Cricetulus griseus: one gene and its partner. The protein of the gene in region 1 interacts with the protein of each later gene in a pairwise test. Links are inferred from orthologs where the notes say so. Each region holds a gene or a part of one and is shown in the gene's direction. Other genes may lie near its edges.

Region 1 (6,564 bases):
CAAGCAACTCATATTCATCTAGAACTTTACTCACTGATGCCCATTTTAAATGTCTGGTTGTATTAAGGAAAGGAAAGATGTGGGCACTTATCTTTTGAGATTAAAAATACAGAGTTTACAATTCTATGCATTCCCTGTGGCTAAGCCCACTAATCAACAAAGACAAGGGAGTGTCCATTGTAAAAAATTGGGATTGTGCCCTGAGCAAATTGAGAACATGGGAAGAGGGGGGAGGAAGCTACGAGAGTGAGAAGGGAAGAAAAGGAAGGATGCAGAGGTCACAAGGAAGCAGAAATTTTGAGTCAGGTGTAGATTAGAAGAAAGGACATATGACAGGTAGGATTTTAGTTGGGGGTGGGGTGGTAGAGGAGGAAGGGAGGGAGAAGGGAACTGGGATCGTCATGTAATTCAATCTTGTTTGTAATTCAAATATATAAAAATAAATAAATAATTGGGATTGTAAAACAGAGGCTTCCTGAAAACAAACCGATAAACACAAACACACACACACACACACACACACACTCACACACACACTCACACACACACACACACACACACACACACACACACACACACACACACACGACGCCCCCCTCCAAGGAATGCACAATAGGAAAATGTAATCTAATGGCCATAAGATAAAGGTCTAAAGAATTCCTTAAATATTCCGGCTTTGGGAAATAGGGAGAACCTGATGACTCTATGCCACAGGAAAGGACTCTGGATATAGAATTACTATCCAGAAAAAAACTGCCCGCCCCCCAGGCTCCCAGAACTTTGGGTCTCAACAAAGATCTCCTTCGTGGGCTAAGGCTCCAACCACCTCTCCCCTTCAAAAGCATTTAACATACCTGGGCCAGAGTCCCACCTCTCAAGTTAATCCCAGTTAGAAACTGGCCAGGATTGCTGGTTATGCTTAGACCCCTGACCCCCATACTACATAGGGGTCGGAACTAACCAGACTGTCAATCCACTCAAGGAGGGGGAAGAGGAAGGAGAGAAATGATGTAATATAATTAAATTTCAATTAAAAATAAAATTTAAAGGTGTGTGTGTGTGTGTGTGTGTGTGTGTGTGTAGACATGCACAGTACATGCAGCTACCCATGGCGGCTAGAAATTGTTGATCCCCTGGGGCTGGCCATTGCAGCAGGTGGTTATAAGCCACCTGATGTGTGTGCTGGGAACTAACTCTAGTCTTCTGACAGAGCCACAAACACACTCAACTTCTGAGCCATCTGTCTAGCCTCTCCTAACATTTTTTATTGATACATATTTTGTTCTTCAACAGCCATTCCCAACTAACTGAATCCAAAAAGTGAACCCTGAAATTCCCCCCAAACTGTATGAACTAGTACTGTAAATCAACACAATCATCGGTCACTGCAGAGATAACTGTTTTATGTATCAGGAGCTAGTGGTCAGACAGAGAAGTTCTTTCTCATATCAAGACAGCACCGTGTTAACTAAAACCAAGTTCTTTTTCATCTGTACTGTAATTTAGGCTTTCTTATGTAATAGAAGCTAAGAGTAGGCCCCGGCATGGTGGCACACGCCTTTAATCCTGGCATTCTGGAGGCAGGAAACAAGGACTGACCTGAAATTCCTACTGTCCCTGCCTCAGCCACTGAAGTGAGGTACTGAGTGCATGTTACAATAATAGAAACTCGCTATTGCTCGTTCTGTAAAACTAAATTATTGCATTTCTGTAGTATTTCAATTTTGGGGCATGCATGTGCATCCGTGTGGCTAGATGTGTATTCATACGCCCATATGTTTTCAGGTGGACAAACGATGGCTCTGACATTAAAAGATTGCTGCTATTCTAAAATGTCCACACGAAAACCCATTAACTCGTTAGGCTCAGCTCCGGCAGAAGTCACTAAGAGCGCTTAAATCTATTTCTCCTTCCAATGCTAGGAAAACGAGCAATCACACATATGTTACGCTTTCTTACAATGCCACAGTACTATTCTAGGTGGGTTAGCAAGATGCCTAGACGGATCCAGAAGAAAAACTGCAAAGCAGCAGAAATCCAGAAGGTGCCTGCTCTAGGGCGGAGCTCTCGGGAGAGCGGCTCTCCACCGCGAGCTTCCGCCTCTGCTTGCTCTAGTTCCGGTCTCCGGCCTCCGGCCTCTCTCGTGTCTGTCTGCTCGCTTTCTCCGGCGCTAAGGCGGGCCGGAACTTTTGTCATCCGGAACCGGTGTACGCAATTCCGTGTTGCGGACCGGCGTCTAGGCGACGACGGCGCTGTTCTCTTCCTCCGGCGGCGGTCGCTGCGGAGCTCAGCCCAGCCAGCCTGGTTGAGGAGCGCGCCCGGCTGGACTGGGTCTATGGTGGCTCCGTGGGCCGCTCTGCTGGCTGGTGCTTTTGTATCAGGGCCCGCAGTATTCCATGGCAGGGAACTTCTGGCAGAGCTCCCACTAGTGAGTGAGCTTCCGTTTGCTCCCGCGGGACTGGTTCTGGGGCCCGGGGAGGACTGGGCCTGCGACTCCCTAGGGCCTGCGGATCTTGGAGTGTGGGCGAGCCCTCCCGGGGAAGCTAGGCGAGCTTGTTGGCGGGCCTCGGAGCCTCGGGGGCTGGGTGAGCCTGAAGGATGGGCGAGAGGACAGGTGTCCGACGGAAGACTGAGGCTGTTTCAGTTTGTATTTGGGGGTTAGCTGTGAGTGGGATGATGTGGGCACAGGCACGTTGTAGCCTGTTCGGACGGGTATGGGTTGCTTTTGCTAGGTCTTGTTGAGAGCAAAGACGTTACAATCTCTTGTCATTCGCCTTACTTGCAGATCTAATATTGCCTAGATTGTCGATCCGGTTTTTGGTTTGTTGGTTTGTTTGCCCCTGCCTCTTCCTCCTGAGTCGTGCGCCACCACTTCCCGGCTTCTCAGTAGACGTTTATGCCCCTAGAATATAGAGAGCGCAGTTGCTCTCAACATGTATGCATTTTCATTCATTAGCCAGTGTCTTCTGTTTTGCGTTAAAAGTGTGTATTTCTCAGGTTTTATCTATTCCTTGAACCATTTAAATGAGTGAATTCGGGTGCCTGCCTGTCAGTGGTCATGGAAGGGCTAAAGTAATATTTGAGACATTTCTCTCTAAATGCATTGGTTAAACGTGCAGCGAGGTTGTGTGATCTGGCTAAGCTTTGAGCAGGTTTTTCACTGAATACTTAAAAACTGAACGGGACTTAATACAAGACATCGTAGCTTAAGTAAATCTTAGGGTGAAGAAACTAACGAAATTTTAGTTCTGTGAATTGGATTGGCTCCTTTTCCTCTTTACCCCAAGAACGGGGAAGAAGGAAACAGTGAGTTTGTAAACCTGTTTCTGGAAAGCATGTTTTCTCTTGCTACAAAGTGATTTTAGGGAGATGAGCTGCTCGTGGAGCATCACTATGCGACATAGTATTTCTGGTTGTTTACAGTCACTGAGATGTTTTAGATGAAGTTGAAATACAGAAGGAGATGACTCAAAAAGGCGGAATTAAGTTGGAGCCTGTAATTCTGGCACTTGGACTGCCTTCATCGTCTGTCTCAGTGACGTAATACTGGAACAGACAGTAAGTCTTTGGGTATAGTAAGAATCTATCTTTGAGGAAGGGCCTTTGTATCAAGGGTTTCGAGAACCAGTGTGCTGGCTCTTTGTACAAATGACAGTATGAAAGAAGTCTGGAAAAAAGTAGAGAGCCTTTGAAAAACATCAAGAGACATATCCTCCCCCCCCCCCCCCCGCGCGCGCCCAAGTCCTGGAACTAGCTCTTGTAGACAAGACTTGTCTCTAACTCACAGAGATCCGCCTGCCTCTGTCTCCAGAGTGCTGGGATTAAAGCCAATTCTTTGCCCTCAAGTTCTCCTATTTTTTCCTGCTGAGACTGTAGGTGAGCTGCTGAAAAGCTAGAGAAATCATATGAGTGACTCCCCTGAGAGTTTAAAATGACATCCTTATTTAGTGACCAGACTGAATGAGAGTCAAACACAGCAAACTGACACAGAATTATTTGAAGATAGTCAGCAAAACAGTCAACAAGTAGTGTCAAGAACCAAAGGGATTAAATTGGTTTGTCGACAAGACTGTGAAACTTGAGGGATGATAGTGAAAATTCTGGTTGAAAAAAAAAATCTCATTAGAAAAATATTTATTTTCCTCTGAGGCAGAATCTGCTTAAAATGGGTGAACATGTGTTGAAGGACTCAAGATTTTCATTGTTTTATATAATTTACTCAATATTTTAGAGACCTATTTAGAAGAATTAATGCTAAGAGTGTGTGTGTGTGTGTGTGTGTGTGTGTGTGTGTGTGTGTGTGTGTGTGAGTGAGTGTGTGTGTGTGTGTGTGTGTGTGTGTGTGTGTGTGTGTGTGTATTTCAGAGATAGGCTAGTGCTTTGTCTACCTCTGATATATTTCTATCCAGACATTGTCTTTTACGGATGTACCTCCAAAGAAGAAGAAGCTGGGTATGTTACCACATGCCTTTAAACCTAGCAGTGATGGGGGTGAGGTGTTGTTGGCAGGTGGATCTCTGAATGTGAAGCCAGCCTGGTCTACAGAAGTGAGTTCCAGGACAGCCATGACTACAAGAGAAACCCTGTCTCAGAGGAGAAAAAAAGGAATGTACTTCTTAGAATAGATCAGCTTGTTAAATCTTAAAAAGTTTTAGGTGCTTTTGCTTGTTGGCGTTCTACACTGTGTTTTATTATCTTCTTTACTTTTTCCAGTTTGCAGTGGATTTTGGATAAACAAGATCTGTTGAAAGAGCGCCAGAAGGACTTAAAATTTCTCTCAGAAGAAGAGTATTGGAAGTTACAAATATTTTTTACAAATGGTACAATTTTAAGTTGGTTGAAGTAGTATAGTATAGCTGGTCACCTTTGAGACTTGTTTGTGGTAATTTTCAATGGATTATTGCAGTCTATAGTTAATGTTCTTATTTATACATTTATCGTTTTAGTGTGCTTGGTAACACTTTTTGCACTTTATGTGTTGGAAGCACAGTGTTAGCTAATGTCCTTGGGTATTTCTAGTGCGGCCTCTTTTAAGGTTGGTTAAGACAAAGTAAAAATAAGTAATTCTTTAAATTGGCATCCTGTAGTTGTCATTTTTACCTTATAATTTTACATTAGGAAGAAGGGGGTTTAAATCGGGGTGGTGGTGGTGAATGCCTTTAATCCCAGAACTTGGGAGGCAGAGGCAGGTGGATCTCTGTGAGTTCAAGACCAGTATGGTCTATAAGAGCTAGTTCCAGGACAGCCTCCAAAGCCATAAAGAAACCCTGTCTCTAAAAACAAAAAACAAAAAACAAAAAACAAAAAAAAAAGAAGGGGGTTTAGTCAGGAGACCTTTACTCTGCTGGGATAGCTTTGTTGCCTGGTATTTTTTAAAATAAATTTTATTTTTTTTTATGTATGGGTATTTTGCCTGCATGTGTATCTGTGCACTATATGTTATATAGTGACAAGGAGGCTTGGATCCCTAGGGACTGGAGTTACAAATGATTGTGAGCCACCATGTGGGTGCTGGGAATGGAACTTGGGTCTTCTGCAAGAGTTAGGACTTTTTATGAAAATAATCTGAAAAGTATTAAAAGGAATATTTGATAGTCAACTTCCTTATAGCAAGATAACTTGTAGGTGGTTTCTATTTCTTGGTTTTGCATGTTGCTATATTTGCAAGTCTTAGGCAGCTGTGGATCAGAGGGTGTCAGAGAGTGCCTAGCTATGAGTGGACATAATTCTAACATGTAGAAATTACTGTTAAAAGTTAATGTTATTAATGTTACTATAATGGTGCCAGGTGAAACATTAAAATTTTATTATTTCCCTTTTAGTCATCCAAGCATTAGGTGAACATCTTAAATTAAGACAACAGGTTATTGCTACTGCTACAGTCTATTTCAAGAGGTTCTATGCCAGGTATGGCTGTTTTATTTTTTTGTTAGCCTGTTTGAGGTTCTCTTCTGATTTCCATATGCCATATATAAGTAAGTCACTTGATTGCTATAGAATTATGATTGCCTGATTACCCAGTGTGTCTTCTAAATGGACATAATTTAACTCTTGTCTAATCATGTTTTAGGTATTCTCTGAAAAGTATAGATCCTGTATTAATGGCTCCTACATGTGTGTTTCTGGCATCCAAAGTAGAGGTATAAAACAATTTTTTGCTCTTCATCAACCTATAATATTATGTACAGTTAATCTTTTTTTATATTGCCTTTGTATGGATAATCTTAAGGGGTAATTTATACAAGATAATACATACATCTTGCAAGTAATTTTATATATTTAATAAATATGGCACTTACTATGTATCAGATGCTTTAATGAGACTATAAGTTTTTGTTTAATCCTATAACTGTAGAGTATATAGCAATAGGGTAAAAGGGCCTTGACCTTGACTTGATCTGAGACCAGAGCCAGGGAGAGAACACCTTGACTCTTAAATAACCTGAGACCAAGATTAAGAAAAAGAATCCACCAGTCCCTGAGCTTGCACAAAATCAGGCCACAAAAATCCCACCAATTCCATACTACCCTGGAATTCTCTGCTCACCAAGAAACCCTATATAA
Region 2 (5,942 bases), about 110 Mb from region 1:
GTCCGCCTCCTCCCGCATTAGCTGTTTTTTTATTAATAGGGGTGAGGCCCAAAGGACTTCAGGGTGTTCATAGAAAATGGTTGTTGATACCTTCCAAATCTACACTATGTATAACAGCTGCAGCAGCTTCAGAACAAGGTGAGGGGTCAGGCTGAAAGTTACAACAGCGCGTCCTTTCAGAGGGTGGTGGTGAGAGGCGGTCTGGCCAGGCAGGTCGTTTAACTGTGGGCCAGCATGGCTTTAGACTGAGCATCCGGAAATGGGACAAGGAGAGCCAGCAGAGTCACAGTGGTCTTTGAAACAGTGGTAGCTGTGAGTTAATGCTTCCATCATGATATCTTTAAAACTCAAAAGATGGGTGATTTAGAAGTAAATTTTAGTTGGATCTGAAGACTGCCCCAGGAAGCAATGAACCTTTGACACAGTGTGCTGGGGAGGAACACTTACAGCCTGAGCCGATGGGACCTCGGCAGCCAGCAGTGCAGGTGATAGGCTGTGTGGACCAAACAAAAGTGAATCATGGCGACACTGGTCCGGCAGCATTCAGAACAGTTCTGTCTGAGACTCCACACCCAATGTTACCGCCATGTTGGACAGGTCACGATGTAGGAGCTCACTGTAACTTAACCCTCTGTGGCTTGGAGAGTCTAGCTAAGGTGGCTGAGTTGGTAAAGCCGGGATGGATATATGAGACAGGTCACCAATGTGATAAAGGACAAAGACTGCCTCCTGTACTCTGAGGGATCAGCTTCCACCAGCCTCCTCATTCCCCAGGGGAAGGAAACCTGAGGTCCTCCTAGAGCACTGGGGCTGGGAGCATTTTGATTCATCTCGGTTTCTAGAGCCCAGGCGACCCCTTGACTCCCTCCACCCCATGTAGTCAGCCTTCCTTCCACTCTGCTCTCCTTTGGGCATGGTGTCTAGAACATGTCTTGGGCGTGCCCAGGGCTAGTATATACTCCAGTTCCCTAGGCCACAGTTCTATGAAGATGCTGCCTTTTTTTGAGACAGAGTCTCCTGTATCCCAGGCTGTCCTTGAACTTCTGTATGTGTACACGTGGAAGCCAGCATCAGTATCTGGTGTCATCCTCAATAGCTGCTCAGTTTACCTTTTGAAATAGGTCTCACACAAAACTTAGAGCCTGTTGATTGAACTACACTGGCTGGCTCTGTTTCTCCAGGGCTGGGGTTAGAGGTGTGTACTGCCAACCCAGTGCACACCCGTGTGTGAGTTCGTGCATGTGTGTGAGTGGGTGCGTGTGCTTATGCATGAGAGAGAGAGAGAGAGAGAGAGAGAGAGAGAGAGAGAGAGAGAGTGTGTGCTTGTTTTTTCAAGAGCTTTATAAATTACCTTTTTTTTTCTATGCAGGCAATTGAACACCTCATAAATGTTAGGCAAGTGTTCTGTTACTTAGCTATGTCCTTGTAGCTGGAATTTCTTTCCAGCCTAGTCCCACAGCCCCAAATAAGCACACAGAGATGTATTAATTATAAACTGTTTGGCCAATGGCTCAGACTTCTTATTTGCTAGCTCTCTGTTATTAACCCATTTCTATTCATCTAAGTATTTCCACGTGGTTTTTTTTTACCAGAGAAGGGTCCAGACCTGTTACTCCTTCCTTGGCTACATGGTGCCTCCTTGCGGCCTCTGTCTGCCTCCTCTTCCCCAGCATTCTCCTTGTCTGGTAGCCCCACCTATACTTCCTGCCTGGCTACTGGCCAATCAGTGTTTTATTCATCAACCAATAAGATAAACATATATACAGAAAGACATCCCCATCAGATCCCCAGCCCTGTGAATTACTTTAATAAAATTATAAAACCCGAAGTGACATCCATCAGTAAATATTCATTTCTCCTTGTGACTCAGGACCACCTGAGGGTTTGCTGACCATGTGCCTCTGGTATTTCCTGGGTCTGTTGTGGGAATGAGCATCTTGGCTGTGGCTTAGCCGGCCTCTGATGGCTGCAATCACCAGCCCTGGGGTGGCTGGGATACAGCTGTCATACCACAGCAATCTAGCATGGTAGATCCTCTGAGATGGTTTAGGTGTTGTCTGAGTATTTCTTCAGAAGTCCACATGCTGAAAGCTTGGTGTCCAGTGTGGCTGAGGTCGTTCCTTCCAGAGAGGTGCCTAGCAGAAGGCAAGTCATGAGGGTGAAGTGGTTTTCAGAAGAACAGGTTTTTGTTTAGTTTTTTTGGTTGGTTGGTATTTCTTTTGAGACAGGGTATCTATGTGTAGTTGTGACTGTCTTAGGATTTGCTCTGTAAATCAGGCAACCTCAGAGATCCACCTGCCTTTGCCTCCCGAGTGCTGGGATTAGAGGTGTGTGCCACCACCTCTCGGCCTAATTATTCTTAATAATAAAAACTCTTGAGCCCGGCAGTGGTGGCTCACACCTTTGATCCCAGCACTCGGGAGGCAGGAGCAGATGGATCTCTGTGAGTTGAGGCCAGTCTGGACTACAGATCAAGTTCCAGGACAGCCAAGGCTATTACACAGAGAAATAATATCTCAAAAAAACAAGAAAAAACAACAACAAAAAACAACTTGGAGTCAGCTTTCGGGGGTGAAAGCTGAAAGATCAGAGAAGCAGAGCGGCCAACCACTAGAGAGTTCTTACCACTACCAGTGCTCAGACCAAAAGGGCAATCCTGTCTCTACAAATGCTCAGATTGCCCAAACTCCTGTCTCCTCCTGCCTTATATTCCTCTCTCTGCCCAGCCATATTGCTCCTAGTTCTACCTCCTTAGTGCTAGGATTAAAGAAGTGTCACTCCTAGTGCTGAGATCACCTTTGTATGAGTTCTGTTTCTCTTTTAGGCAAATTCAGTGTCGTGTAGCCCAGGGTGGCCTTGAACTCACAGAGATCTGTCTGCCTCTGTCTCCCCGAGTGCTGGGATTAAAGGTATGTGCCACCACACCTGGCCCCTATGGCTAACTCGTGGTTTAGCTCTGCACTCTGATCTTCAGGCAATCTTTATTTTTTATAGCCGAAATAAAATATCACCTCAGGACTGGTTCACTTTCTCTTTTTCCACCATGCTGTGATGCAGCCAGGATACTGATGCTAATTTCTTAGGCCTTTAGAATCTCTTTTCTTTAAAATGTACCCAGCCTTAGCCAGTCATGGTAGCATACATGTAATCCCAGCACTTGGAATGTGAAGGCAAGAGGATCAGAAGTTCAAAGGTATCCTTCACTACATACCACTTTTAGGCCAACCTGGGCTATGGAGCCTTGTCACTGTCTCCCCCTGTGTCCCTCTCCCACACGCTGGAATTAGAGACATGCTAGCCTCTAGCGTGTTGTTATATGTTACTATAACACCAGAAAACTCTGTGACTATAATTTCTTCCAAGTGCTAGGCTCAGAACTAATATGCTATCCTTTCAGCCATAATCATTTGAGCAAAGTGAATCATAAGGAATAGAGACTTATATCCCATTCCACTTGGTAGGAACTGCACACACATAAGCAAAGGCTGAAAGCGAAGCCAGTTTTGCAGTTCATCTCAGTCAGTGAAGCCAAGTATTTTGCCCACCTGTTTGCAGGGAGAACATGGGCAGATGTCAAGAGAATTATAAATGAGCTTGTTTCCTTTTTCCTCTGTAGACAGCAGTGGAGTCAGAGGTTTCCATTTAGATCACCAACTCCAGCTTCTCCCCATGGACACATCCGAGAAAACAGAAGTGGTTCTCCTGGCCTGTGGTTCTTTTAACCCCATCACCAACATGCACCTCAGGCTGTTTGAGCTGGGCAAGGACTACATGAATGCAACAGGTAGGAGCAGTAACCCAGGTAACTTAGGGCTAGAGACAAAGCTGGGCAGTGGTGATGGTGCACGCCTTTAACACTAGCACTCAGGAGGCAAAGGCAGGTGGATCTCTGAGAGCTGAAGCCAGACTGGTCTACAGAGCAAGTTCTAGGACAGCCAGGGCTACAACAGAGAAACCCTGCCTTCAAAATACAAAAAACAAATGAAACAAAACAAAACAAAAAAAGACTAGAGATGCACTTGACTGAGTGTGAACGCCTTATTCTGGACACAAGCAAGTTGTTCTGTTTCCTGGTATAGAGATTTAGCCAAAAGCTAATGGAGCCAGTAAGGTGGCTCCTCAGGGAAAAGTGCTTGTTGCAAAGTATGTGGCAAGAAGGTACAACTAAAGCTGGGTGTGGTGTTGCATGTCCTTAATCTCTGTGAGTTCCATACCAGCGTGGTCTGCATAGCAAGTTCCTGGACAGCCAGGACTACACAGAGAGACCCTGTCTCAGGGGAAGAAAGAGAAAGAGAAAGAGGAGGTGTGCATGGATCAGAAGATGGCGGGGCTGAGCAGACACTGTCAGGGGAGTGCTTGATTGGTGTTGTCAAGCCCCTAGGTGAGGAAGGACAATCCCTGCATCTGTTCTAGGTGAACAATGCAAATTGAGTCAGGCTCTTAACAAAGAATTCAGCACTTCTGGTTGGAATTCTGACCAACAAGAATTTTAAGTGTAAGCTGTGTGGGTGAACCCAGAGTGAGTGTGTTAGGGGTGTAGGGCTTTAGTTGGAGAAGGTGAAATTTGTGAAGGTTGTTAACAGTGTGCATGTGCTCAACATTTAGGATTGTACAGTTAAAATACTTCAAATGATAACTTTTGTAATATGTTATTACAGGTTCTTTTCTACATTAAAAACTCTATTTACTTACATGGGGTCAGTGCGGTATTGTGTGTGACAGGGTGTGGATGAGGAGGAGGTCAGTTGGAGAAGTCTGGTCTCTCCTTTCACCATGAGTGTCCTGAGGATTGAACTCTGATCATCAGTCTGACAGCACACTCCTTTATCAATGGAGCCGTCTTGCCAAACCCTTACCACAGTTTCAATTTAGCTACTAAATTTGACTCTTTGTTTAAAAAGGAGGAGTGGCTGGGCGGTGGTGGCACATGCCTTTAATCCCAGCACTCAGGAGGTAGAGACAGGCGGATCTCTGTGAGTTCGAGACCAGCTTGGTCTATAAGAGCTAGTTCCAGGACAGCCTTCAAAGACACAGAGAAACCTTGTCTCGAAAAACCAAAAAAAAAAAAAAAAAAAGGGGAGGGGGAGGGATTGTAACTAGGAGCTAATAAATTGTTATAATTTCTGCCCATAAAATCTGATTTGTTATCCCTCATATCAACCCAACTGTGTATCCAGGAAAATACAGGGTTATCAAAGGCATAATTTCTCCTGTTGGCGATGCGTACAAGAAGAAAGGGCTCATCCCTGCCCACCACCGAATCATCATGGCAGAACTTGCCACCAAGAACTCGCACTGGCTGGAAGTGGACACATGGGAAAGTCTCCAGAAGGAGTGGGTGGAGACTGTGAAGGTGCTCAGGTAACAGTGGCACAGTCTATACTGTTGGTTCTAGGGATCCTTCCCATTGCCATGTATTTTTTTCAGTTCCGCCTGCTCTGATTGACAGGTCTGTATCAGTTAGTGTCCTGTTGCTGTGAAGAGAAGCCATGACCAATGCTTATGAAAGAAAGCATTTACCTGGGGGCTGGTGTACAGTTTCAGAGGCTTAGTCCATTATCATCCCGACAGGGAGCCCCGTGGCACATAGTGTGCCCGACCTGAAGGAACAGTAGCTGAGAGCTTGGTCTGATTAGCAGACCAAGAGAGGCACCCAGGCCTTGGCATAGGCCTTTGAAATATTAGAGCCCACTCCCCAGAGGCACACTTCCTCTCCAAAGGCCACACCTTCTAACCATTCTAATCCTTTCAAATAGTGCCAGTCCCTAGTGACTAAGCATTTGGATATATGAGCCTGTGGGGGCCACTCTTACTCAAACCACCACAGAGGGCTGCACCTTCCTGCACCACAGGCTGTTGAGCACAGCAGCAGAGCTCAGACACACCTGAGCCCATGTGTCTTTCAGCATGAGGTGAGATGTTGACAAGGTTGTTCGTCAGAC

Evidence for each region. The genes of interacting proteins can lie anywhere in the genome.
Region 2: the proteins of Ccnc (region 1) and Nmnat1 interact in binary tests that used the Homo sapiens proteins (3 or more experiments, as listed by UniProt). The two-hybrid records come from large-scale screens. The link is inferred for Cricetulus griseus from reciprocal best matches to the Homo sapiens genes CCNC and NMNAT1.

What each region holds. Positions count from the first base shown.
Region 1 is NC_048595.1:119,719,709-119,726,272, reverse strand, and holds the start of Ccnc (cyclin-C), read left to right. Parts: upstream 1-2,230; 5' UTR 2,231-2,396; coding exon 2,397-2,428; intron 2,429-3,423; exon of another isoform or gene 3,424-3,558; intron 3,559-4,713; coding exon 4,714-4,820; intron 4,821-5,822; coding exon 5,823-5,907; intron 5,908-6,070; coding exon 6,071-6,140; intron 6,141-6,564. UniProt on the Homo sapiens protein: Component of the Mediator complex, a coactivator involved in regulated gene transcription of nearly all RNA polymerase II-dependent genes.
Region 2 is NC_048595.1:6,906,648-6,912,589, forward strand, and holds part of Nmnat1 (nicotinamide/nicotinic acid mononucleotide adenylyltransferase 1), read left to right. Parts: intron 1-3,616; coding exon 3,617-3,784; intron 3,785-5,177; coding exon 5,178-5,361; intron 5,362-5,942.